7 linked regions of the Oryzias latipes genome follow. Each later gene encodes a partner of the first gene's protein in a complex. Links are inferred from orthologs where the notes say so. Each region holds a gene or a part of one and is shown in the gene's direction. Other genes may lie near its edges.

Region 1 (2,710 bases):
CCGGCAGAAGAGGCGTCCCGTTACACTCTGTGTCCTTCTGGCATCGGCTGATGGGCGCTGAAGGCGGTCTGGAGCAGAGCATCAAGAGTCCGTACACGTCCCGCGTGCTGAAGCCGTACATCAGGTACCCCCCGCCCCGGCCCGCCCCGCCCCGGTGGCCGTGGGCGGTCAGGGTCTAAGGTTCTGTCTCTGGTCTGCAGGAGGGACTATGAGAGCCGCCCTCTGAAGCTGCGGTTGTTGGCTGAAATCAGAGCGTACCCCCACAGGAAGGACCCGGCCTGGGTCCCTGAAGCCGACGCCCCCATCGACTACTGCTACGTCCGTCCCAACCACATCCCCTCCGTCAACGCCATGTGTCACCACGGCTTCTGGCCAGGTGGAGTATCTCCTTCCAGCCTTTGGCCTGCTGCCCCCACTCTTCTAATCTGGCTGGCTCCTCCCCCAGGAGTGGACCTGTCCGAGTGCCTGCAGTACCCGGACTTCAGCGTGGTGGTCCTCTACAAGAAGGTGGTGGTGGGCTTTGGGTTCATGGTTCCGGACGTCAAGTACAATGAGGCCTACATCTCCTTCCTGCTGGTGCATCCTGAGTGGAGGAGGGCCGGCATCGGGACCTTCATGATCTACCACCTCATCCAGGTGGGTGGGGGTGGGCGGGGCTCTGACGTCCAGCTTTTGTTCGGTTGGGTCCAAAGCTTTGTCCTCCTCTGGTTCTTCAGTTTACATCAGAACCTTTTAGCATCTCAGCTCCTCCTCTGTGCTGGATAGGGGTGTGATGGTAACCCCACCCCCATCCAGTCCTTAAGCATTATGGGGGATTTATTACTGAGTCTGATTTGAATGAAGAGCAACATGAAGACGGATAATAAAAGCAGCAGCAGCAGCATTTCAGCGGCACTTTGGTTGTTAACGGTTACCTGAACAGTTGTTTAGTTGTTGTTACTGTTATGTGTCTGTTATTACATTTGCTGCGTTCTGATTCGAAGCACCGCGACTCCTGCTGCTTCATCAGCGCGGTGATCAAAAATCCCACACCGTCAAAGCTCTGCTGCTGGCTCCACCCACTTGCTAATTTAAACCACGCCCCCTGAGGTATAAAAAGTCATAACCATCCAGAAACTTTGGAAAGTACCGGTGTGGGCAGATAACTTCCACCTTTCCAGGCAGGCCCGGCCAGCCCTGGTCTCCAGAGCCAGCCTGGTCTCCAGCCCCCCCTCCACCATCTTTCTGCTGATTGGCTGAATGCACCTGCTTTCGGTAGTCCGGGTGCAGAGCTGGAGACCTGGCAGGGTTGGGGCCCTTGAGGGCCAGGGTTGGCCAGGTTAAGCGTGATTCCAGTGGCGTCTGGCGTGGCTGACGCTGTGTCCGTGCCGTTTCAGACGTGCATGGGGAAGGACGTGACGCTGCACGTGTCGGCCAGTAACCCCGCCATGCTGCTTTACCAGAAGTTCGGCTTCAAGGCCGAGGAGTACATCCTGGACTTCTACGACAAGTTCTACCCCGTGGACAGCGCCGAGTGCCGCCACGCCTTCTTCCTGCGCCTGCGGCGCTGACGCCCGGCTGCTGATCCAGTTTGGTCCGTCACCTCCGACTTCCACGTGATCCTGTTTTCCAGATCCAATAAAAGTTTCATTCAGGCTTTCCTGACCACAGACTGCATTACCCATGATGCACTGGGCTATGTCACTGTGGCAACAGTTTGAGCAGATAGGAGAAAGCTGGAGCAGGAATTTGTCCTTTGTTTGGGGGGGGGGTCACAGCCCCACCTTCATGGAAAACAGAAGGAAACTGTTTCACAGACTTGGGGGGTCACTCCAAGTCCATGGGGGTCTTGGCCTCAGTTGACAGACCCACCTGGTCCCAAGGATGGCTCCAAGTCCCCGGTGACTGGGGCCCGTGACCTCTACCCCCACCCCCCATGATGACATGAACTGGGGGGGGGGGGTTCTAAAGGTTCTGTCTGAATTGTTTCCCTAACTATTGAAGGTTCTCCATCTTCTAGTTCGTCTGGATCTACGCTTCCAAAATCCAGAACCCTAAAAATTTCCCAGAAGTCTCTGCAGAAAACCAGTGTGCGTCCATCCTCACTACATCAGTGAATATAGACCACAATGCATTGCATCGGAATTATTTTTTGCCACAAAAATGTATTTAATGTCTTTTTTTAAATAAACGTCGTTTTTGTCTTCAGGAGACGGCGGATCAGAAATAGACTCCAAACGCTCAATGGTTAGATTTTCATTTCGTGAAATCAATGGCGTGCAGTGAGCGTGGCGTCTGCATTGCTTTTTACATCCAGGGCAGGGCACTGCATTAGTAGAGGGGGGGTCAGAGGGCCAGAGTCGCCCTCAAAGACATGAACTCTGAGTAGAAACATTTTTATTGTAAATAAAGCTGAACGCTTCAAGACTCTCCTCCCCCACCAAGGAAAATGTTGGTCACCATCACAGCACTGAGCATGCTCAGACATCAGACTCCTCCCACTCAATGTCCCAGAGGAGGTGCAGTCTGTCAGACGGCAAACCCCTGGCCCCGCCCTAAAGGTTGGAAGACATCGGCGCTCAGGCGTGACCGTCCCAGCAAGTCTGGTCCAGTTTGAGCTGCCAGCAGAGACGCCATGTCGCCGCCGCCGGAGCTCGCCGCCACATCGTAAGGCGTCTCCCCCACAGCGTTCCTCTGCCTCACGCTGGCCTTCCATCTGAAAGCAGGGGGG
Region 2 (3,500 bases), on another chromosome or scaffold:
GCCCTTGTGGTTCATGTTTTTCTAACATAGGTAGTATTTTTACAAAATCAGGGTAAGCTTCTCTCTGATCACCCGAGGCAACAATAACTGCAAGAAAGGCAGCGGTGATATGATTCCATGCTTTGTTTCAGTATTTTTTATCAATATTTACTCCCCTGTCACAGGAAGACTCTGAGTCAGTGGTTTGCATTTCCTCCTTCCACAAACCTCTTGCACAAATTAAAAGGCATATCAAACTCTTCATCACCTCCTGACATGTGATTTATCAGTTTGTGTGGAAAAATGTAGCGAAAAATATAATTTAGTAAATACCGCCCCCTTGTGCATTGTTTGATCTTGCAGCTCATGCAGCCTAATTTCAAAAGAAACTCGGGTCTCAATTGAGGCTTAATGAGGCCATCGATTAGGAGGAAATGCTGCTCATTTTGCATTTCAAACGTTATCCTCAACATGACTCTCACATGTTTAAATTAGTTGTTGTTTACATTGCCTTCGCTCAAATTACCTGTTTTTTATGAATCAACAAAACGGTTGCAATTTTAATGTAGATATCTCAAGTTTGGCAACTCTTTGAGCTGAAGATGCACTCACACTGCTGCTACAGCCGTTCATGAGCCTCTCATGACTGACTGACTCACCGGCTGAGTCTGACTGAACACGGCATAAATGTAGATGAGCGGATGTGTCAAAGTAAAGGAAACAAGCCTTAAAAGACTTTGGAAATTCTAACATACATCTTGTTTCTGTAGTTAAATGCCATCTCGAAATTGTGTTTTTAACATTCTTGTGGCATTTTTCTGAGGATTGAGGACATATTAAAAGAACTTTTAAACTTAAAATTACATTTCTGAGGATTTCTGTATTCAAGTTGTTGTGAATCGGGAGCAAACGAAAAAATGCCTTTTGTAATAGACCTTATTTTTTAAGTAGAAAACACGGGGCTCCCTTCTCCACTTCATTCTGATGCATCCACTTGTAAACGACTAGATCCTCGTAAGTCTTCCTTTCCCTATTTGGCATCTGCCTCAAAACTGTACGGCTGAATAGCTTCTAAATTGCTCGCCAGTAATGTTAGGTGAGGGGAATTTCTAATGAACTACTGCCGCTCTGCAGAAACTATGCCTTAGAAAACAACTCAGCTTAATCATAAATAAAAGACCACCGAGAACGATTTAAAAAATAGAACATAAGATGATCAGAGTGGGACTTTAACTAACTTGTGTTTGTTTGTGTTAGATGAATCCCTTACACTAAAAGCATTAATTGGGATTCAATTCGATTTTTCTTGGAATGACTGTAAGCACATCTCTTTTCTCAGTGAGTCCCCCTTTCATTTAACGCGTCGTGGCTGGGGGGAGTTTCCTGTCAGGATCCAGATCCACTTCAAAGACCCTCGCAACAAACGTATTGACATCATTCACCAGCTTAAGGTCAGATCTCATCAAATACTTCCACCTTCCATATCCAGTTTGACCAAGTCTCCTCCAGGCAACCAGATAGTTGGTCTTGCAACTATGCCAATAAGTCATTCTGACTTATTGGCATATTTACATTTGTAGCTAAGAGAATAAGTCAGCACCTGTTTATTGTTGACCTTTTCTTGGGGTTTTTCGCAGCTGGACAGAACGTACACTGGACTTCAGACCCTTGGGGCAGAAACTGTAAGTCCTGGATTCCTGCAACATTTCCTGTTTTGACTTCTCCGCTCAGGCTTTTGCAGTCACACACCGCTATTCCTATTCCAGGTGGTTGATGTGGAGCTCCACAGAGACTCTCTTGGGGAAGATTACTACTTTCAGTCGTCTTCCTCCAAGGTGACGCAAGGAACAGCCAGTCCTTTGTCAGCCTCCAGCTTTGCCCAGAGTCGCGGACGATCTGCTTCCCCCATCTCCCATGACGGCAGTGTAGACAAAGGTACAAAAACAGACACAAAAATAGCTTTGGAACATGACCATGAAAATGGATCGCATTGAAGGATTTTAGCCTTATGGGGTAAATCAGAACTGCTAGAGAGGCGACTTAAAAGTCCTATGGGTGGATTTTTGACAATGCAGTTTCAGGTTGATCCACCATCTATGTCTGTTTGTTTTGATGCACCTTACGTGCATTTTCATTATCCCCAGTCTATCCTAGATGAAAGTCTTTATTGTGAAAGATATGATGATCTAGATAACATTATGCCAACTGCTTTGTGCCGACTTTAGACGAGGTAGAAACAAAGTTTTAAAGCAGTCTCTCCTCCTGTCTCCAGGTTTGATTAAAGCAGAAGTGGGAAGTGCTGCAGTTGCTCTTAGTTCAGGTCTTTCTCTTGCTGCTGGTGAGCGCACTCCAACACGTCCCAAAACTGGTGACAGGGTTACTTTGGGTTCCCATGGCAACTCTGCCTTCCAACCAATCACAGCCAGCTGTAAGATAGTCCCTCAAGGACAGCCACCCAGTCCCGCTGAATCTCCTGGGAAACTGTTCCAACCCATCACCATGAGCTGTAAAATAGTTTCAGGCAAGTGTCTCCATCAGTTTTTTTTATAGCAGCTATATCTGCCCTATTCAGAAGTTGAGCTTAGTCACTAAAATAAAATATTTCATTATGTCAGTGTTTCACATGTAATAAAGCATTTATTTGATAAATTTACCACCAAATTACAAACAACAATTAAGTGAAAAGACACTTTTCTTAAGAAAAGTGATTTTTTTTGTCATTAATAAATTGAATATATAACCTTTTTTTGTCTTTTATGTTCTAACCCTCATCTGAGATCATAAATGTTGGGTACCCAAAATACCAACTGTCTGGTATCGGGTCATGATGCAGTTTAGACACGTAGGGCTCCAGAATGGACTGATTATGGTTAGGAGTGTTCTCTTGGGAAAGCCTACCCCCTTAAGAGCTAAAGGAGACATCTGATGAGGAGGTCCAGTAATGAAGTCCTAGATGAGCTGCCAAAAAAAAGCACCCCATGAAAAAGAACAGTCAAATTTAGAGGTGTTAAAAGCTTAAAATATTTCATGAAATTGGTGTGATTAACAGTTGATGTTCTTTAGACTATCTTAGCCCTCAAGTTCTCTTCCATTTCAATTCCTCCAATATCTTTGACATATAAAACACCAAAAGATTTACTCTGTATCTGTTTACTGGTACATCTTCTCATCTATAGGCTCCCCCATCTCCACCCCAAGCCACTCTCCCCTGCCTCGCACACCCATCGCCTCCACCCCCGCTCACACCAAGGATGGCTCCTCTGTGCTCAACAACCCTTATATCATAGTAGACAAACCTGGCCAAATGATCGGCATGACTTCCTCGTCTGCTGGGCCCACAGGTACAAATCTTTTTGTCAGTGCTGCCGATGCTCCACAGAGTTTAAAAGCAAACCTCTAAGATGCCCTTGAAAACGTTTAATGGCTACAGAGAATGGAAAGTACAGCAAATGATCAAATCTGGAAGATTTTTTTTCTGCACATCTCTGCACCCAAAGCCTCTTGTCTGTTCTTCTCTTTAA
Region 3 (4,026 bases), on another chromosome or scaffold:
CAGTTATATTTTTCTGTTGCTCTCAATAAGCTGGCTAGCTTCTGTTAAAAAATCCAAAATTATTATTTAAACGAATTAACTAACACTAACAACAATATTTATCATAATTTCAAAGGAAGTTCTATTTCTTTATTAATTTTTCTATGCCACTAAATAAAGATCATTGTGAGAGAAACTACTGTTTGGCATTTTGAAATGTTTGTCTTTAGAAATTACATTAGATCAAGTTCTACAGGTAGAACTTGATTTAATGTATATTTACACTTTTTGGAAGTGTAAATATAACTTAAAAACAAAATGTTCACACATGGCAACGGGGCAACTCTAAGTCAGATAAAACAAAGAATAGTAGGGATGTAACACTTAATTAATTTATTTATCCAGATCAAAGTCTGAGACAAGTTGTTAATCAAATCGATAAATACCATAAGATCATTTCAAAATTAAATTGACTATAATCTTTACTGAAAAATACCATTTGGATTGAGGCATTGTAGGTTTATTTTACTGTAACTTAAAAATGACCACGTGCATCACAGTGGACAACACACACACACACGAGATGACAGCAAAACACTTTTGATTTAGCAAAGACGTGACCAAACAGTGTGGTAGAATGTTCTGATAATGTTCCATTTGTATTATTTTTTATGTGGAAAAACAACAGTAGGCAAAACTTTATGAAACTAAAATGTGAATGGATTTGACATTGGTACTTGATTACTGGCTTGTTTGTACACATATTTAATTTACACTTGATTATCTTGAAAGAAATACAAGGAATGTGGAAAAACTTCACCTTGCACTGTTAGTACCCAGGTATTTATCTCTGAGCCACATTGGTTGAATATTTGGCTGAAGATGTTCTGGATCAAAATAAGGTCAGTGAATCGTAATAAATTTACTGGTTCACTATGATCTAAAATTAACTATGAATCATATCAGCAACCACAAATTATATGAATCAAATTATTCTTAATATTAATGTTACAACTGCTAAAAACAATGCATTTGTAGATACATACTTTTTTTTTCTTCATTTAAAATAAATATATTTCCAAAAGTAGGCAATCTTAGAAAAATCAGAGATAATAGTTTGGTTTTGTAACGAAAGAAAAAAAAGATAATTACATCTGTAGCTCCCTGCGGAACAATTTCCAATCATTTGTTGTACCACCCGACTCCATCCTGGTGGGCACCGGAAATTGTTATAGCGCACACTCGGAGCCAATCAAAAACGCCCTTTGTCTGACGTCGTAACCGGACACATTTCAGCTAATGTTTGTACAGTACACAACTCCAAATTATAAACCTAAACAAAACATCTGCAATCAAATTTTGGTCAAGTTCAGGACTTACATATAAATACTCCAATTATTTACGAGTAGAACTGACTATAATTCTTGCGCTTCGTAAAGCAAACAGCTCCGCTTCATCTGCGCTTAATTGTTAGCTTAGCTTAGCCATGCTCTCCGCTTTCATTGGACTTGTGTGCTGCGTCTCAGTTTCGCCACGGACGACGGATATAAGGATATAATTTTTCTTCCCCCTCCCTTTTTTTACTGTAAGCTTCAGAGCAATCTTGGACATTTATTCGCCGATTAAATACGATATAGGAGCGCCGCTCAAGCAACAGAACCTGCTCATTGTTTGACATTTGGTTGGTAAGCTAGCCAGTGGGCTAACTTAGACTAGCTCGCTTGGCAACATTTCCATCGATATTTTCTTGAACCGTTATCTGTCTACTGTAACATGGACATAGAGAAGACAGTGAACGCGTGATAAATCTTCTCGAAGAAGCGGAGTTCCACTATTCTGTTCCTTTCCCCCCTTTTTTCATCACTATGGCTTCCTCGTCTGGAAATGACGACGACCTCACCATACCGAGAGCAGCTATCAACAAAATGATCAAAGAAACTTTGCCTAACGTACGGGTGGCCAACGATGCCAGGGAGCTTGTGGTCAATTGCTGCACAGAGTTCATCCATCTTATTTCCTCCGAGGCGAATGAGATCTGTAACAAATCCGACAAGAAGACCATATCTCCAGAGCATGTCATTAACGGTTGGTTCTCATTTACATGTATTTACCACCTCTTTAAATATCGCTCGTCCTTTATGTGGGTGGGTGTGTGTGTGTGTGTGGGGGGGGGGGGGATGCAAAGGAGCACGGATCCTCCTGCAAGCTTCACATCATAGAAAGTGTAGTTTCAACCTCGTGTTTCTGCACCACAGCCCTCGAGAGCCTTGGTTTCGGCTCGTACATCACAGAGGTGAAAGACGTGCTGCAGGAGTGCAAAACGGTTGCTCTTAAGAGGAGGAAGGCCAGCTCTCGACTGGAAAACCTGGGCATTCCGGAGGAGGAACTCTTGAGGCAGCAGCAGGAGTTATTTGCCAAGGTCTGATCTCAGAAAACTGCACCTTCAAATGTGGCTTGAACACCCACAATAATATTAACCTACAGATCATGATGAACACGGGCACACAACTTGTACTTTTCATTTGAGGTACAGAAGGGCTTGGTTTTGTTAACATTTTCAAAAGTTTCTAAACTGGTCATTCCATTTAAGGATATCAATCCCCTTTAAGATTGGATGCAAACAAATTTAGGTGTTTTAATAGAAAATACTTAACTAAGCTCATAGAGGAAGTATTTAAGATGAAAAAAAATCTTTTCCTGTCAAGTATTGTAGAAATGAAGACATGTACACACAAAACAATTTCAAATATCATATAGGCATACACATTTAAATCAACCTGAATGTAACTTCCTCTTTGAGTTATGCTGATTGTCCTGAAACAAAGCACTCTCTGCTCATTCAAAGTAAGTTAATGTGGCCCTTTCAGCTTTAACTGACAGGCCATGGTGTGTTTTTGCTAAAGGTTTTTTACTTTAAAGACCCACTCAAATAAAATATCATGTTTTTGGTGTTTTCTAAAATCTTCTTGTGGCATTTTTCTGATGATGGAAGACGTATCATAAGAAAAACAAGCTTCATATTACATTTCTGAGCATTTCTTCATTCAAATAGTTCTGAGTCAGGAGCAAACGACAAAATGCTGTGTGGAAAAAGCTACAATCGGCGGGCCACAAGCTTCCCTCTCTGCTCCATTCTGATACATCCTCTTGCAGACAAATGCATCCATGTACGTCTTTTTCCTCGTCTTAACAGGCTTCCGACTCAGCTATACAGCTGGAAATCCAATATTGCTTATCATTTTTGTCGCACTGGTAAAGTTAGGTTGGGGGTTTGAGGGGCTGTAAGCTAGAAAAATGCTACAAGAACATGTTAAAAACACCAAAAGCATGATTTTTATTTGAGTGGGTCTTTAAGGTCAGAGAGATGTATTTTGTTCACATTCCTTTAAAAAAAACATTTTGTTCCTATGTATTGCTTTGTTTGATTTGCTGCGTTGTATTTGATATTCATTTAATAAATATCCAACAACACAAGATAAACCTTTTTGAGAAGTTACATGTACGGTATATATTTAAAAAATTACCAAAAACTATTATTTCTGCAGTAACCGGCCGGACTCACTGCAGGTTGCCATGAGCTTGAATGGGTAAACCTGAAGTGCCACATTGTGTCAAGCACTCATGATAGAATGTGCGTCTTCTGCAGGCGCGGCAGCAGCAGGCGGAGCTTGAACAGCAGGAGTGGCTGCAGATGCAGCAGGCTGCCCAGCAGGCACAGATGGCAGCAGCATCTGCAAGCGTTGCCCAGCAGGCGGGCTCTTCTCAGGATGAAGACGAAGAGGACGAAATGTGACCCCCCCCCGCGACCCACTTTACTGTGTTTGAATTTAACGTTAGGAAAGTTTTGGTACACAAATCTCAGTTTTGCCATGAACAGGGACTTAAAACATGTTTGTGTACTTGAAATTTAGAAAGCTAAAGAAAGGGATGCGAGGGGAGAAACGGCCCCACATGCACATTCAAAGAAGCGTTTTTACCGGAAAATGGTAAAAATGGAAAGGCTGTTTGCGAAGTTTTTCATTAAATTTATATTCCCCTGGGTTTTTT
Region 4 (4,109 bases), on another chromosome or scaffold:
AAACGTATTATATTGTAGAGATTTTTTTAAGGACCTGCTTCACAGCAATGCTGACTCTGACAGAGTTGATGGACCCTTCGATGAACACCTTCTCCTTGTCGTTACGACTGATCACCACCGGTTGAAGCAGCAACTCCTTGCTGCTCCTGTAAACACATGGCCATCAGATCCCTTCAGCTTTCAAATCTCCAGCTGCTCTGTCTCACTTTGTTAGGAGGACATCTGCAGGCAAGCTGCAGCTAGCTACATTTGGTGCGTCCATGTCTTTTTTTCCCCTTCCCACAAATATTTTCCAGTACAAGTCCGCACAGGTCCGAACTTGTGTGAAAGCAGCTGACGAACCACAATCGGAAAAGATGCAACAGCAGCAAGCAACAACAACAATATAAAAAAAGAAAGGCTTGCAGTTGCTGATGTGACACATACCTGACCTCCACCTCAGGCTTGTTGTGGCGCTCCACCACCTGAGAGGAGAAATTCTCCAAACAGAGGGCGGCCTGCAGGGTGGCCCTCACAGCATTCAGGTAGGGGCGCAGAGTCGCTGTCTGGAATGAGCAGAAGATCAGTATGTGAAGGAATCCTGCTTTACTGAAACACTAAGGGATCAAGGCTGATATAAGCACCAATTAGAACATTACATTTCCATGCCATTTTTTATCATTTCAACCAAATATTGTGATTAGTAATGAATTAAGCCATTAGCATGTTTCTTTTCTCTAGTTTATTGTAACAGAGGATGGGATTTGGGGAGATTTCTAGAGCAACATTTTAGTAAAAAATGTGATCATCTCTTCTTTTTTTTGTATCTTTTAAAGATTGCCGGGTGACATAACAGACAAAAAAGAGCCTAAATGAAAAAGAGGCTAACAGGAAAAGGCAGCTCACGTCTTCTGTCACTCTAGTCTAGTTTCTGCATACCTACATGAAGGATGCCTGCCCTCCGATAACTAGATCGAACCACTAACACCGGATAAAGATCTAGAAGCTAGCTAGCTTTTCTCACATTAATAATATCCATAGTTGCTTGGAATAAAAAGCTAAATTGTAAAATATAAGCGAAAATATTATGCATCAGACTTACCATTTTGAGCAGTAAAAGACGGAAGTTCCTCTGCCACGCCTGGGACGGCTCTTCCGTAAATCCTGCATAGTAGAGTAACGCTAGGGTGCGTTTGTTTTCTTGTCTTCGTTTGATGAGGTCGACAGTTTCTCGGTGCGCAACTCATCTAGCAGTTTTGCTTTGTGGCTCCACCCATCCAGAAAACACGTTATAAGAAACCGAGCAAACCCAATCGGACTTCAATTTCACTGTACAACGGGGGAGACGTTTTTCTTCAGTGACAATTTAGGCTTGTAATATCTACACATTATTTAATTTTTTGCCTCAATATTAAATTTTTATAGTCATAATTGTACTCGTTTCATATAATAGCATTTAAGTTGAAAACATAGTGGCTATTACTTGACAAATTCAGATTGACCTAATGGTTTCTTCCGACAGTACCATCACAGATGCAGCTTTGGGCGTTTTCTAGATTTCGTAAAATGCATTTACCCATTTTCCATATTTTTTGGCATTATGTCTTTTCTTTATATGTATTATTCTATACAAATGCTGAGACAGCAACTGTGTTCACTTCAAGGTGATATATTAAAAAAAAAGCCTACAAAAAACACCCCCACTTGCACGATGGTATAATCCATCATGGGCACCTTCACTGACGGTAAATATCGTTGATCTTTAAAAATTAATTACGCGTCTGTTCTTGAAGTGTGTGGCGTTAAAAAAACGTTTGTGTTTATATAAGCCATTTCTAAGCAGTTCGCTGTGTAATTAAAAATGTAATTTGGGGGCAATTCTGGCCGGCCGCTGGTTCAGCCCCGCTCGAGTGTGTCGTGTGTGATGCGTACGTATCTATGTGTTGTGTTTTTAATGAATTAATTATGGCCAAACGTGATCAGGATGAACTGTGTGTTCGTTTCAGATGGTCTGTAAATTACCCCGCTGTTCATCATTTTGCGTCAGTTACATCAGACTAACGGCTCCCTGCCAACAATCAACATCATGAGCGAGCTGAAGGACTGTTCCCCGCTGAAATACTACGACTTCAAGCCCGTGGATCATGTCAGGTTGTGTCCCCGTTACACCGCCGTGCTGGGCCGCTCAGAGGACGATGGCATCGGCAGCGGGGAGCTTGATACTCTGCAGCTGGAGCTGGAGACGCTCCTGTCTTCAGCCAGCCGCCGCCTGCGAGCCCTGGAGGAGCAGAGACAGGTAGGTGGACGCTCATCCATTCAGCAGCAGATGGACGCAACATTTGATTTACCGCATCGCTTTCATCCTTCCAGATCCTCACAGATTGGCAAGACAAAAAGGGAGACAAGCGCTTCCTTAAAATGGGAAAAGACCCTGATCCTGCAGCCACATCCCGCCACAAGCCCAAGAAACAAAAACTGGATGGGAAAGGAGCACATGGACAAGGACCTGGTCCCGGAAGGCCCAAATCCAAAAACCTGCAGCCGAAAGTTCAAGAGTATGAATTTACAGATGAACCACAAGATATCCCGTGCACCCCCAAAAATGATGCTCCCAACAGGTCAGCACGAGGCGCTTTTCACACCATACTTATCTTTTTCGGCTTCAACCTTGCTTCACTGTTTAGTTTATTTGTTTTGGTGGATTAAAACCCTTTTTATGTTTAATCTGTTTACTTTTTACTTTTTTTTTTCCAGATTCTGGGCTTCAGTTGAACCGTATTGTGCAGATATTACCAATGAAGAAATACGACTGCTTGAAGAGCTTCTTAAGCCCTTAGAGGACGAGGCTGAGTATTTCAAAGTATGATTTTAAAACTTTTAGTTCACTTAAGGCAGTGGGGCTTCTAGATTCAAAGCGATACACACCTCTCCCTCAAAAGAAACCCTTAAAGTTCTATGTTCTTCCCTAAATACTTCTGTTTCCTAACAGAGTTAGGTAGGACTTCATTTGGTTCTTGGCAAACAAGCCATGTCCGAATTCTGTCAGTATGACCTGAAAACCAGATCGAAAACTTAAAACGTCACCAAATAAAAAAGATAATTAGTTGTGGGTCTGTGTACATTTAAAGACCACTGGGAACGCTGTGAAAATGGATCAAAAGAGGATCAGAGTGACTTTTTTAGATGCAAATTCATCAAACTTCTACTCAACATTTACAAAGTATTCACTTTACTGAACTTAAGACCAATTTACACAAAAACCCTTTTTTCATCACTTCAGTACAAGTTAACCAAAACAACATTGTAGCTAAATGAACTTGGAAATATTTAATGGTCTTAAAAATTGTAGGGTTTTTTATCTAGTCAGACATAAAAACATTTTTGCTCTAATAAGAGCAAGAGAAATATAAGCAAAGCTTGACCCATTAGTTTGTCTTGTTATGAGCCTATTTTTATTCATTGAAGTAATTTATTCCTGTGCATAACTTAATGTTGGGAACTTTTTTCTCTCCACCTTTTTAAATAAGGTAATTGCCTTACTAGCTACTCCTTTTATTATTATTAGACTACATGTAAGAAATGTACCGGTATATATCACAGGAAAACGGTTCTAAAACGAGCTTTAATGATGCGTCTATATAACAACAAGTAAATACATATTATGCAAATACTTTCTTGTGATGTTAAATATAAAATTTTTTTAAATCACTGAATAATTGCTAATCAGTTCTCATCCCTCCTTGGTTCTGAATAATTTTTTAATTCACGTTAAACAACCCTAAAGGTAACGTTTGATGTCACCATTTAACCTCACGACGCCTGAATATTTTTCCAGTGATGAAAAAATAATTCACTTATGTTTTTGCTTTCATGTAGATGCTAAATTAAGATATTTTTTTTTATCATTTAAAAAACCAGACTATGTAAAAGACCTTGTGCAGCCGTACACTCCCAGCTGGTCCCTGAGATCATGTGACCAGGGTCTGCTGGTTGTTAAGAGAACCCGGTTAAAAACTAAAGGTGACAAAGCCTTTGCAGCGGTGGCTCCATCCCTCTTGGAACTCCCTTCCTCTCAGCCTCAGATCTGCAGACTTTGAAAACCAGCTAAAAAACATATCTTTTTTTAAATT
Region 5 (4,189 bases), on another chromosome or scaffold:
TTTTTTTCCTTTTTTCTTTTTCTTTCTGGAGATCTCTGGTATTAAATGCACTGGTTTTGTCTCATCATCTTTATGAATTGAGATGTTCTCCAGCGTTCACCACATTTTTTTTGTTCTTAATTTTCACATCAGTGAGGCATCAGCTTTTAAACTTTTTTTGAGGGTGGTGGTGGAGGGGGGTCATCCATCCTAATATGGCATCAACCATGGAAAATAGCAGCCGTTGCATCTTGAAAGGGAGGGATTGTGGGAAAAACGATTCTACTTTCATGAATAAATGAGGGTAGACATCTTTTCATGTATGATTTTGTTGAAAATAGCTTAAAAATCTTTGAATTTAAAATGAAATTCAGAGGCTTGGAAATGTTTCTACTCATTTTTTCCACCCTAAAACCCTAAAACAATTTCACACATCTTTACAGGTTACCTGATAACCTGTCGGTTATTGCTTTGACATGAGGTATAGTACTTCCAGTGTCAAACATTTCATAATAGACTGGTTTCTTATACAATTTTGATAATCTTTACATGCATAAATCCACATTTTAAAACATTTTTTGTTTATAACTGTCTCACTTTACAGTTGTTGCTGTTAAAATATGTATTTTGTCTTAAAGTTGCACATTTAATGAGAGAAAAGCTGTTTCTTTGAGACATAAAGAAACAATATAGTTCCATAAATAATTGTGTTTAATTTTGAAAGTCTTCATTGAGGTATGCATAGTTGCAATACCTAAAACGGTCACTAGGTGGACCATAGCAGAGGTACTCCAGAAAAACAGCTTCTGCATTACAGTTAACTGGGTCTGTCCTTTTGTGTGTGTGTGCATATATATATATAATGTGGAATGGAAAAATTGATCAGAGTTTGGGAGTAAACATTTTGGTCACACTAGTTAACTAGTGAGCTTTACAAGAGCCTTACTAGTGGAGCTGTAGAAAATGTGTATGCAGCTAGTTAACCAGTTGACTTTTTAGATTGTCACTAACCAACCAGTAAGCACAAGTATTGCCCACTAGTAAACTAGTACATATTTCTAAACATTACTAGTTAACTAGTTCACATTTATGGCATTTCGTTTTAAATAATTGTACTTTTGGCATTACTAGTTGGGCTTAAAACAAGGATGCCGATTTCATTCTAGAACAGCTTGACATAGAGCCTAACATTTGTTACGTGTTGCTTTCATGTTTTTCCACTAGAGGACACTACACCGCTTTACTACAGTACTGGGAACCTGTACATTTAAAATTTCCAGAAATAGCCAAATGATCCTTTCAAATAGTAAATATTTTATTTTAGGTTTTTATTCACTCACGATTAAAACAATATGCTTTTAATGCTGTGTACATTTTTTATTTGAATTTTTAGCTTTTGGTGTTTGTAAAATCCAGCTTTCTGCCCGGAACCTGAAGGCACCAGATGAGATCAACGGCAACAGAGGAAGTCTCCAGCAGCAGCGTGGATATGTCGGACCCGGCAGCGCAGGCCTCACAACCCCGGCTTCCACAGACCCAGTCCGCTGGGTCAGCTGGGTCCGGTAATGCTGCAACAGGCTCCGGGTCGGGCAATAGCGACCCGGCTAGGCCAGGACTCAGCCAGCAACAGCGCGCTAGCCAGAAGAAAGCCCAAGTTCGAGCTTTCCCACGGGCGAAAAAGCTGGAGAAACTTGGCGTGTTCTCCGCATGCAAGGTAGCTAATGTAGCTAGCCAAAGTTCACAACAGAGCCGTCTTGAGATTTATTAGCGTTTATAAATATATGTTTAGAGCACAAAGTAGAAGTGGAGCAACGTCAACTAATTCCCCTCCATCGACTGTTGTAAAAATAATTTATATTCACAAATCTGTAGCCAAACCCATCAGCTAGCGTAATTGATCCGTTAGTCATTGCGGCCGCTGAATAGCCGTTCACTGTTTGTGCTTCGCGTCCTCAGGCCAATGACACATGCAAATGCAACGGATGGAAGAACCCAAACCCACCGTCAGCCACCCGTCTGGATCTGCAGCAGCAAGCAGCCAGCCTGAGCGAGCCCTGCCGCAGCTGTGGACATGCTCTGGGTACCAACTATTCAGCCTCCATTTAAACCACTGACTAAGAACAGGAGATCAGTACCGCTGAAGGGCTCATCACACTGTTTAATGCGTCTGAGGGACGACACTACAGATTCTGCACAAGATACACGGTTTGCCCTTTGCAAACATGCCCATCATTACTGTGATAGTCAGAAAATAAACTAGTTGTTCCTCCTCTGGCTTTGGGATTAATGGCAAAATTTGTGCAGAAACTGCGACTTTAAAGTCTCATTCCAATTATCTTTTGATGTAATTATGATAAGGCAGATTTTGCCTAAATCAAAAAACGTTTGGGTTTCTAGGACATCGTTTCTGAAGAGCCGTGTTCGTGCATTAGAAACCCACCTGAGTTTTGGGTGGAACTGTTGGCACGGACTGAGCCTGCTCGCATTTCCCATCATCCCTTTGTGTCCGCGCTCTCCTTACAGCAGCAATTACAAGCTTTCTCCAACGGCATGTTTTCGTCTGCTCCTGATTTACCACAATTTGAATGAAGAAATACTCAGAAACTCAGTTTAAATCTTAATTTCCTTTATCTATGTCCTCCATTACGAGAAAAAACGCTACAAGAAGATGTTAAAAACACCAAAAACAAGATTTTTACTGGAATTGGTTTTTAAGAATGAACATTGCGGTTAATATTGTGCGTCATGTTTACAGTCAGTATTATTCTGGTGCAATATTCATGCATGTATAGTTGTTTTTCCAAGTTTGAAGATAAAACGTATATATATATAGTGTAGTCTAGAGGTCTGCAACCTTTTAACACTTTTGGTGGATTTCTAACCAACAACAACCCAGTAGGAGCTACAAAGTCTTACTTTAGCCTTTTAAAAAATAAGACATTAGTTGGTATTTTTGTTATTGTTGCTGTTGTTCACTTTTCAACATAGCCCTTCAGGCGTCGCCACATTGAATCAACTTTCACGTTTTTACACCTGATGCCCGTCCTGACACAACCCTGTATTTTTATCTGGGCTGGGGACCGGCACAGGGGGACCCAAACTTGGGCCCCCTTGTTGGCTACATACTTAGACAGCAGCATATATATAATGTTGTTTTTATGCATAAACAAAGAGAAAATATCTGGGTTTGTTTTTAAGAAAAATGAGAAATGGTGTATAACTTTTGGCCGAGATTCATATGACTTCCTTTCAATAAAGGACACCTTAGACAAAGGATCCTCTCAAAGCAGCTAATGTTTTTATTGGTAGTGTAATGTCACACACTTTGTTTTACCATTGGGGGTCCATCTCAGCCAGAAAAGAGTAAATCGAACAAACTAAATTTAAATAAGAGCTAAATAAGTAACCCTTATTGTATATTTCAAACCACAAGGTACCGTACACTTAAAATCAATAAGAATTGTTTTAAAAGAATTAAAAAATCTGCTTTATAATCCAGTGCTTCTAAATTCTGGTTGTGCTTGGTGACCTCCGATTGATTTTCTGTGGTTATCGGCGCTCAACGTGTTTCAGTTTTTAGTTAATGTTTTAGTTTGACTTGTGTTACGTACTGTCTTTGGCCTGTTTGAAAAGAGTTTGAGGTTGTCTATTTTACTTTTCTTTAAGTTACTACTTAATTATTATTTTTTTACTATAAAGTTACTTTTTCAAATGAATTTTTTTTTACTTTAGCCAAAGAGCCACAATGAAGGGGAATAAGAGCCACATGTGGTGATGAGAATGTATTAGCTGCACACATCTTTTTAAAATACTTTTACAATGTTGCTCTAAGTTGAACTGTTTTTGAAAGAGAAGAATCTCTTTAAAAACTAGTACGTCAATTGTTCTGATAGCTCTTTTTTGCAGTATTTACAGATTTCTACGTTTCCCCAAACTTCAGTACAATTTTGAAAATATAAAGAGATCCCAGTAGAACATATGCATTGACTGTACGGTAATTGTTTTGCAGCGGAGCACGTGTCTCATCTGGAGAATGTGTCTGAGGAGGAGATCAACAGGCTGCTGGGCATGGTGGTTGACGTGGAGAACCTGTTCATGTCTGTGCACAAAGAGGAGGACACTGATACCAAACAAGTGTACTTTTACCTCTTCAAGGTAGCGTTATGGTTCTATGGGTTTTGGGGTGTTTTTTTTGAGCGTTTGGGTGGAA
Region 6 (4,174 bases), on another chromosome or scaffold:
GCTCCCTCTCATCCGCCTCTCGTTGATTTTCTGGCAGCATCCTGCGTCACGCTCTGGACAAGATCGCAGAAATCAAGTCCCTGCAGGAGGAGCGGAGGATCGGTGCGTACAGCAGCAGCAGCAGCAGCAGCTACAGCAGCAGCAGCAGCTACAGCAGCAGCAGCAGCTACAGCAGCAGCTACAGCAGCAGCAGCTACAGCAGCAGCAGCTACAGCAGCAGCAGCTACAGCAACAGCAGCTACAGCAGCAGCAGCTACAGCAGCAGCAGCTACAGGCAGCAGCTACAGCAGCAGCAGCTACAGCAGCAGCAGCAGCTACAGCAGCAGCAGCTACAGCAGCAGCAGCTACAGCAGCAGCAGCTACAGCAGCAGCAGCAGCAGCTACAGGCAGCAGCTACAGCAGCAGCTACAGCAGCAGCAGCAGCAGCTACAGCAGCAGCTACAGGCAGCAGCTACAGCAGCAGCAGCTACAGCTACAGCAGCAGCAGCTACAGCAGCAGCTACAGGCAGCAGCTACAGCAGCAGCTACAGCAGCTACAGCAGCAGCTACAGCAGCAGCTACAGCAGCAGCAGCAGCAGCTACAGCAGCAGCTACAGGCAGCAGCTACAGCAGCAGCAGCTACAGCTACAGCAGCAGCAGCTACAGCAGCAGCTACAGCAGCAGCTACAGCAGCAGCTACAGCAGCAGCAGCAGCAGCAGCTACAGGCAGCAGCAGTGAGCTCCTGCTCCTCCGTCTCCTCTGGTTTCTAAAGAAATCTGTCTTTTCCAGCCGCGAAGTCTGCCAGGGTTCAGAGTGACAACGACCCCCCCAGGAAGACGATGCGGCGCGGCGTGCTCATGACCCTCCTGCAGCAGTCGGCCATGACGCTACCACTGTGGATCGGGAAACCCGGAGAGAGGTGTCCGTGTTCCTCTGAGGAAGGACAGAACCCAGCTTGTTTTCAATGGTGTTCTGCTGCATGACTGACATCTCTGCCCCCCCCCCCCCCCCCCCCCCGTGACCCGCAGCCCCCCTCCTCTATGCGGGGCCATCCCGGCCAGCAGCGACTACGTGGCCAAGCAGGGCGACAAGGTGGCGGCCAGAGTGAAGGTGGTGGACGGCGACGAGCAGTGGATCCTGGCTGAGGTGGTCAGCTACAGCCACTCCACCAACAAGTGAGGCGCAGACGCGCAGCCACGTGCACACCCACATGCAGGCCCACGTGCACGCCCACGTGCCGGCTCTGACCTGTGTTCTCTGCTGCAGGTACGAGGTGGATGACATCGACGAAGAGGGCAAAGAGTGAGTTCTCCTCTGTTTCTGGGTGGGTTCTGGGTTCTGGAGCAGATCTCTGAATGTTCTGTTTGGAACCGTCAGGAGACACACCCTGAGCCGGCGCCGGATCATCCCCCTCCCTCAGTGGAAGGCCAACCCGGAGACGGACCCCGAGGCTCTGTTCAGCAAGGACCAGCTGGTTCTGGCTCTGTACCCGCAGACCACCTGCTTCTACCGCGCTCTGATCCACACGCCGCCGCACCGGGTGAGCCGCCGCCCCCCCCCACCTCCACGTGCTGGAACGTTCAACCAGAACCCTCAGCTTCAGTAAGGTTCACATGTCTGTGAAAAAACGGGAAAAGGGAGTTTATAACCATCTTAATTTACAGCACCTGTCTGACTCCGCCCCTTAACTGTTAGCCTCCCCAGAGAGGCGTGGCCTAAACTCCAGCAGGTATGTAACCCGAGGTGTGGGTTCTGGGGGGTGTTCCAGATAGCAGGTTCTGCTAGCTCCCACGGTAAGTTTGAGGCTAAGGAAGTTGATAACCTCAGCTTTCAGTTCCAGAAATGGAGGTATGTTTCAGGGTAGGTCAAGTTGCCATAGCAACTCATGCTCTGAACATAACCTGGTCTGGAGCAGGTTTAGTTGAAGGTTAGTTTGTTTTCAGAGAGGTGAAGCAGCATGGCGTGTCCATTTGAAGATGATTTAGTGGATGAAAAAGCTCAGATAATACTTTTTCAACCATGAGAGGATGATAAGACCACATATGGATGTTGGAAAGATAAACTTTTTACTTTGATCTAACTTCATTATTTGCTTCAGTTAAGATAAATCATTTTTTTAAGTCAGTTTTAAAATAACACGTAGTTATCAGACAGTTATTTTACTTTCATTCAAATTAATTCAATTAAGTAGGTGTAACTTTGGTGCTGCTGTTAGATCGGCACCACAAGGGATTGTGGGATATCATTCCCTTTGCCTGTCTGGACGGATTTGGGTTTAAGTGTGGGTTTTTGACCAAATGTGTTTAGTTGTGTAGCTGTTTTACTGTGTTTTACCGAGTTATTTTGTCCTACTATGCTTACGTCTCTGCACCATGAGTGAGAGGGAGGAAGAGGATGATGAGTTTATAGAGCAGCCCTACGGTTAACTAGAATACTGACAATGTTGGAAAATTCCTAAATGAATGAACGCACTCTTTTGTTCTTTCTATTGTTATTAAAATGAGGATCTGCCGGCTCAAACTTAGACATTTGAGAGTTCAAGAATTATAATTCATTACGATGGAAAAAAAATTACTTGAATTGGAGTAATATGACATTTAGTTAGATAAATATGTAAATTTGAGCTGTAAAAACAACTATTGAGTTTTATAGACGTAAGAAATTAGATTGAATAAATTTAACTCAATTACTTGTTACCAATAGAAGTAATTCATTTACGTTGGCAAAATTGGATAAGTTATATATATATATATATATATATATATATATATATATATATATATATATATATATATATATATATATATATATATATGAATATATGCATCACATGAAAATAGAAATAAGATCAGAAACTTGTGCGTTTACTTTGTTCTTTTTCTCCAAGCAGAAACTCTTTCTTTTGCTGATGATGCAGCCGTGTTACTTTTTGATGGACGTATAATCTTCATAGCCGTCATTACAATCTCAGACTCCGTCTCACTGAAGCGCTCTCTCTTTTTTTCTCCACGCGTTTCCATGGTGACTCCAGAAATCTGTGATCCATTGAGAATGTCTTTATGTACCTGCTGTGCACGTGCATTAACCCAGGGTTACCAAGTGGAGCGTAATTATGCTAACTCATATCTGGTCTTTGGGAACCGACATACCCAGAGTAAGCAAGTTCAGGCGGATTTCAGCCAGAGTTCAGGGTTAAAGTCAGGCTAGTTTAAACATGCTTCCTGGAATAGCCCCCTGGTCCGTGACTGTCCCTGCTGTGTTTGTGTGCAGCCTCAGGACGACTACTCGGTTCTGTTCGAGGACACGTCGTACGCCGACGGTTACTCTCCTCCGCTGAATGTGGCGCAGCGCTACGTGGTCGCCTGCAAGGAGAACAAGAAGAAATGAGCGGCGCCGGCATCAAACGTGGTGGGACAACCTGAACCAAAAAAGAGGCTTCCAGCGCCACCTGTGCTCCAGAAGAGGAACTGCTCATTGTGGTTCCAAACAGAACCGGGTTGATCCTGACCCGGGTCACTGTAAACGTTTCCCTTAAGAGCACACAGGACAGTCAGAAAAAGTACTTTTGAAAGATCAAAGTAAGTCGCCTGAACAAAACAAACTGTGGTTAACGTGAAGCTGGAAGTTGAATCATGCCGTCATTTTTTTTTAGAACAAAACAAATCCAGATTAATAAAAAGATTTGCTTCTCTAATATTGTTGGCATTGAGTTTTTACATTATTTATTTTTTACATATTTCAGTGTTTTTGAACTAAATTCAGTTTGTTTTAATGTAGTCATATTCTATACTATTATAAAATCAAATCAATGTAAGAAAAATAAAATAAAACATGTCTGTGACACATCGGATATCAACGATGTTATTTGATTATTTTTTAACACAATGATTAGTTTATTTATGATGTGCGGCCGCTGAGTGACAAAGGCAACGCGACAATAACAGAAATGATGCTAAATCTTAAATATCCGAGGGTCCTTGAAAGCAACAGAGAGGCGCGAAAAGAGCCATGGCGGAAACGGTGAGTGGCGGCTATCCTCCGTGATTCCTGTAGTGAAACCGGTCTCCGTGGGGGCTGGTCGTGGCTGACGGGTGTTGTTGAGTGAACGAACTATAAACTTCAAGTGAAGTTTGGGACGCGGAGCCACAGGATCGTCGGATTTCTTGAATATTGGATTACGCAGGCTTTTCACAA
Region 7 (4,288 bases), on another chromosome or scaffold:
GAAACAAACAGTTGATAGAAGGGCTCTTCTGCTGAGATAGTCCTGAAAAGTTGTGGCCTTTATAGCCACGTTTGATCACACACTTGTGGGCATGTGGTGTGAATGCTGCAGCCAGGAACAAAAAAGGAAGCTCACTCTGGCTCAACACACAACAGCAAACCGTTACACAAAAAGGAGAAGTCTCTCCTCATAGGTGAATAAATCATGACCCTCTCAAAGGATGATTACAAGCTAGTATGACGGTGAGCTGGAAATTCCTCCAAAAGAGTAAGAGTGTGCGTGCATCTCCTTAACATACACAGACTATCGTTAAAAACCGTGTCTCTCCCTAGAGGCTCCAGAGATGAGTCGCAGGCTAGGATGCTACCGAACAGACCAATCAGGATGTATTGAACTCACAGAGAAGGCTCAAGCAAGCTGGAACAGAGCAGCCCATTCAGAGTTAACCCATCATGTGGTTTAGGAAGCTGCCCTCATCCTCTGTGGGGATTTGCAGTCTAAATATATTTGCTCTGAATCACCTCAAAGAAAGAAGGAATCAGATTTTCTGGTATCAATGACAGAAATGCAAATATTAGAATAAAAACTGTCATAATTAGTAACTGCAGAGAGGTTAAGAGGTTTCATGAAAATCAAACAGTCCTTTTTCCAGCCACATCTGTACTAAATCAGTCATTTCACTCAAATACTTATTTTTTCTACCTTTAAGTGAGTTTGGCACATGTGGATTTGCAGTTTTATGCATTAGGGTTTCAGATATTTGTTTTCCTAAGGCTCCTCATGGGCCCTCACTGGCATGCTCTTGAGGGTGTTTGAGCTGTTTTTGAATTGGGGGTGCCAAACCTGGACACAGGCACTGGAAAACATTGGTACTCATAAATATTTGCTGGTTTTCATATTAAAGAAAATGTCTTGAAGCCTTTTGCAGGCCAGGCAGCACCTCTGCAAAAAGTTTATGGAGGACAAAAAGCAGCATGGGGGTGTTGTGACACAGAACATTCATCATCTTTATTTCTATTTCTCACATGATGCTTATGCAAGCCTCAGGTAATCATCTGTGCTGGGAGGGAGACAAAGGCTTTCAGGGTGCTCATTGTTGCCTTAAGAGACATAGAGCAAGATCAGCACCTTGTGGCAATATAGGGAAGTACTGTCGTCATGGTGATGAGATGGAGAAACTAAAAACAAGTTAAAATCTCTCCCCATTGCAAAATAAATGTAAAACAAAAATCTTAAGAGAAGGAAAAGAAAGTTAAAGATGAAATACCTTTTTATAAAAATCATTTTGCATTAAAATGCAATATTCCATGTGGCTTTTTTATATATTTCATACATTTTTTTAAACAACATTTGTTTTCTGTTCAAATTTTTGAGTTTCTTCTGCCTTTGTAAGAACCTATGAGGACATGGCACACAACTATTAAAACATAATAGTATATATATCATTTTGTGTGGTGATACACGACCAAAACTATCGATATTCGGAGCTCGATTAGTTATGACGTCATCAGGCACATAGCCGAGTTCTGAAAAACAGATCGACCCAAATTCAATTTTGGTGTTGTTATTGAGAAGCAAATAGCAATTAAATGGACCGAATAGCGTCTTTTTCAGGTACGTATTGGCATTATTATACACACAGTTGAATTTATTGCAGTTTTACCAAGTATCCATCGACTTTTTGGAAGGTTAGCTGTTTTTGTCCATAAAGCAAGGTCTGCTAAGCTATCTTTAGCATTAGCATCGCCGTCAAAAACAATGCTATTTTTGTTTGCCGCAGTGATTTGTTGAAAATATTCGACCTGTTGTTGAGACATTCAACATTATCATCATTTTCAAGCTCGACTAGTAAAGCTAGTCCTTCGCCCAAGATAACATCTGTTTTGTGCATTCAAGTTTGCCCCAAAATCACGACTTTAGGCTATATGTATCTTTTTTAACTGCGTGTTGTTACTATTAAAACTGTTACTGATAATATATATATAATTATTCTGTTCATTTTAGATGACCCCTTTGATAAACCGCCTTGCAGAGGCTGCTCATCCCATCTAACCGAACCATACATCAAGTGCGCAGAATGTGGACCTTCACCTTTTTTGTTGTGTCTTCAGGTAAGCCAGATGAGGATGCTTATAATTTGTTTGTTTTGGCTCTTTAGAATGTGTGTTTGAACACAAACCGAATAACTCAGCTGTAACTTTACGCAGACAGACCACAGTTTAAACACTTTGGACAAAACCTTACGATTTTTTTTTTTAGCCCAGTATTTCCTTGTTGTTGTTGCAAAACTTCTTGGCAATAAATGTTAGACTTCTGCAAAATTAGTTTGCTTTATATTTTAAATGAGTCCATATTTGTGAGGAACGCGCATTTGTGCAATGAGCAGCAGAAGGTATGCAAGGTTTTCCAAATAGCCAAACTGCTTTTATTTCTGTAGCCATTGATTGACCCTTATTTTTGGAACTTCTGGAGGTTTCCACATCAGTGCCCGCCCAGCACTGATCGCCTTCCACAGATTTCTAACTACTATACCTGATTTGAGAAAAAAAATTCAAATGAAAGAACATGATGCCATCCCACGGCAGTGTATAATAAAGAGGTGTCAGGGTGTTCCGTCCAGTTCTTTCATGTTCCACTGATTATCCTGTTTCTTAACAATTGTTTTATTTATTTTTTACATTGCCAATACCATATATCTTCCAATAGTGGCTGGTCTTCAATTAATGTCAGGGCTATTATTGGAGGATATACGGTAAGTCTTACATCCATTATTAAATAATATATTTATTGCCTTAGAAACATTATTACATTTGAGAAAAAATCATGTAGCACAAATTAAAATACTTTTGCACTCTGAATTTTGAATTTGTTCAAATAGCATTAGATCGTATTGCTAAACCAAATAATGTTTTGTATGTATGTTCTTTATTATGAGTGTTAAGTGTTACATTTTCTAGGGTTTTCTATTGTTACAAATATTCTATGATAGATACAATTTTATTAAAAATTAAAATAATTGACATATTTAATTTTGTATCTATAAAATATATCAACTATATATTAATAAGTACAGTTTTTAAATATAGTATTACATTCTGTAGTAAAAGGGTATTAAAAGTACATTACAATGTTGTTGATCACATTTCTAAATGTGTTTCTTAAAAAGTGACGCTTTATTATAGTTTTATAGCACACTGATATTATGAAATCTTTTAAAATTATTTAAAAGGATGAAGTCAAATTGTGTCTAACCTGGTTTAATACTGTGCTTTCTCACACACCTGTGTTGAATACAAATTCTTTTGTTAGTTACTTCCAAAAATGCACTTGTTTTTTCTTTCTAGATTAGAACTTTGTTATTTTGCAAAATGATTTCCTTCACTGTTAAATTAATGGGGAAATAAATGACCAGATCTTTACGATTGGGTTTATTTGAAAAATAAGCCACATTATAACTGCTGCTTCTTTCATGGTCGTCATATCGATACAATTTATGAATTCACTTAATTTGCATGTAAGTTTTACTTTTCTCAGTTAAGAAAACCTCCTCAGTGCATTCAAAGAACTTTTATTTAATGAACAAATCGTGTCTTTTACCTGACCAGCTTTACCCTGAACTTATTTCGTTCCAGTGTTTTACCAGAGGATTTGAATACAAGAAGCATCAGAGTGATCACAGATATGAAATCATGGTGAGTGGAGCTGCAGTTGAGTTTCTCGGGTGTAGCTAAACATCATGTTTAGCGGGCATCTTTTGTGTTACCTCGACTCAGACTTCAGACTTCCCGGTGCTGGAGCCTGGATGGACGGCGCAGGAGGAGATGGCTCTGCTGGAGGCAGTCATGGATTGCGGGTTTGGGAACTGGTAAGAGGTCGAAGACATTTTACCAGTGTTTTCTTTTTGAATACACTTATTTTTACTAACTTCAAAAAGCAAGTTTTTAATGTTTTATCATTTAGCTATTTATCATTGGTGTCATGTTAGTTTCATTGTCTTTTGGTTTCAAAATGTGACAATTTTTACAAGTCATTTCTGCTGTTTAATGGAAATCTCACATTAATTATTTAAAAAAGAAGATTGGTGAAAATATTATTTAACAGTGGTTATATTGTTTTTTAATTTAAGTGTAATTTAGTTACTGCCTCGAAGTTTGGGGAAAAGCATATTCTGTCCATATATATAAAGCCTTTGTTTCATTTACAGAAAAAAGCAATTAGTATAATCAACAAAAAGGCAGCAGAGAATTCACTAATAATTTAATTGATTTTTTAAAAACTTTATTATTCA

The links.
Region 2: kat14 (region 1) and yeats2 share a complex: the UniProt entries of both Homo sapiens proteins name them as parts of the ADA2A-containing complex. The link is inferred for Oryzias latipes from reciprocal best matches to the Homo sapiens genes KAT14 and YEATS2.
Region 3: kat14 (region 1) and dr1 share a complex: the UniProt entries of both Homo sapiens proteins name them as parts of the ADA2A-containing complex. The link is inferred for Oryzias latipes from reciprocal best matches to the Homo sapiens genes KAT14 and DR1.
Region 4: kat14 (region 1) and tada3 share a complex: the UniProt entries of both Homo sapiens proteins name them as parts of the ADA2A-containing complex. The link is inferred for Oryzias latipes from reciprocal best matches to the Homo sapiens genes KAT14 and TADA3.
Region 5: kat14 (region 1) and kat2a share a complex: the UniProt entries of both Homo sapiens proteins name them as parts of the ADA2A-containing complex. The link is inferred for Oryzias latipes from reciprocal best matches to the Homo sapiens genes KAT14 and KAT2A.
Region 6: kat14 (region 1) and sgf29 share a complex: the UniProt entries of both Homo sapiens proteins name them as parts of the ADA2A-containing complex. The link is inferred for Oryzias latipes from reciprocal best matches to the Homo sapiens genes KAT14 and SGF29.
Region 7: kat14 (region 1) and tada2a share a complex: the UniProt entries of both Homo sapiens proteins name them as parts of the ADA2A-containing complex. The link is inferred for Oryzias latipes from reciprocal best matches to the Homo sapiens genes KAT14 and TADA2A.

The regions. Positions count from the first base shown.
Region 1 is NC_019859.2:448,648-451,357, reverse strand, and holds the end of kat14 (cysteine-rich protein 2-binding protein), read left to right. Parts: coding exon 1-124; intron 125-200; coding exon 201-376; intron 377-445; coding exon 446-636; intron 637-1,376; coding exon 1,377-1,550; 3' UTR 1,551-2,210; downstream 2,211-2,710. UniProt on the Homo sapiens protein: Component of the ATAC complex, a complex with histone acetyltransferase activity on histones H3 and H4. May function as a scaffold for the ATAC complex to promote ATAC complex stability. Has also weak histone acetyltransferase activity toward histone H4.
Region 2 is NC_019875.2:23,341,641-23,345,140, reverse strand, and holds part of yeats2 (YEATS domain-containing protein 2), read left to right. Parts: intron 1-1,318; coding exon 1,319-1,430; intron 1,431-1,616; coding exon 1,617-1,661; intron 1,662-1,745; coding exon 1,746-1,914; intron 1,915-2,251; coding exon 2,252-2,500; intron 2,501-3,155; coding exon 3,156-3,320; intron 3,321-3,500. UniProt on the Homo sapiens protein: Chromatin reader component of the ATAC complex, a complex with histone acetyltransferase activity on histones H3 and H4. YEATS2 specifically recognizes and binds histone H3 crotonylated at 'Lys-27' (H3K27cr).
Region 3 is NC_019862.2:24,028,850-24,032,875, reverse strand, and holds the start of dr1 (protein Dr1), read left to right. Parts: upstream 1-1,226; 5' UTR 1,227-1,844; coding exon 1,845-2,064; intron 2,065-2,234; coding exon 2,235-2,398; intron 2,399-3,625; coding exon 3,626-3,772; 3' UTR 3,773-4,026. UniProt on the Homo sapiens protein: The association of the DR1/DRAP1 heterodimer with TBP results in a functional repression of both activated and basal transcription of class II genes.
Region 4 is NC_019863.2:25,385,741-25,389,849, forward strand, and holds the start of tada3 (transcriptional adapter 3), read left to right. Parts: upstream 1-1,309; 5' UTR 1,310-1,724; intron 1,725-1,761; exon of another isoform or gene 1,762-1,907; intron 1,908-1,985; 5' UTR 1,986-2,065; coding exon 2,066-2,275; intron 2,276-2,349; coding exon 2,350-2,597; intron 2,598-2,733; coding exon 2,734-2,839; intron 2,840-4,109. Other genes in the region: actin-related protein 2/3 complex subunit 4, read right to left, coding at 35-146, 427-545, 1,082-1,084. UniProt on the Homo sapiens protein: Functions as a component of the PCAF complex. The PCAF complex is capable of efficiently acetylating histones in a nucleosomal context. The PCAF complex could be considered as the human version of the yeast SAGA complex.
Region 5 is NC_019866.2:6,157,278-6,161,466, reverse strand, and holds the start of kat2a (histone acetyltransferase KAT2A), read left to right. Parts: upstream 1-1,389; 5' UTR 1,390-1,423; coding exon 1,424-1,693; intron 1,694-1,935; coding exon 1,936-2,059; intron 2,060-3,988; coding exon 3,989-4,134; intron 4,135-4,189. UniProt on the Homo sapiens protein: Protein lysine acyltransferase that can act as a acetyltransferase, glutaryltransferase, succinyltransferase or malonyltransferase, depending on the context.
Region 6 is NC_019866.2:658,581-662,754, forward strand, and holds the end of sgf29 (SAGA-associated factor 29), read left to right. Parts: intron 1-37; coding exon 38-102; intron 103-769; coding exon 770-899; intron 900-1,008; coding exon 1,009-1,155; intron 1,156-1,246; coding exon 1,247-1,282; intron 1,283-1,357; coding exon 1,358-1,520; intron 1,521-3,250; coding exon 3,251-3,367; 3' UTR 3,368-3,674; downstream 3,675-4,174. Other genes in the region: nfatc2ip (NFATC2-interacting protein), read left to right, coding at 3,989-4,000. UniProt on the Homo sapiens protein: Chromatin reader component of some histone acetyltransferase (HAT) SAGA-type complexes like the TFTC-HAT, ATAC or STAGA complexes.
Region 7 is NC_019871.2:10,132,969-10,137,256, forward strand, and holds the start of tada2a (transcriptional adapter 2-alpha), read left to right. Parts: upstream 1-1,488; 5' UTR 1,489-1,589; coding exon 1,590-1,614; intron 1,615-2,004; coding exon 2,005-2,111; intron 2,112-3,632; coding exon 3,633-3,692; intron 3,693-3,773; coding exon 3,774-3,865; intron 3,866-4,288. UniProt on the Homo sapiens protein: Component of the ATAC complex, a complex with histone acetyltransferase activity on histones H3 and H4. Required for the function of some acidic activation domains, which activate transcription from a distant site. Binds double-stranded DNA.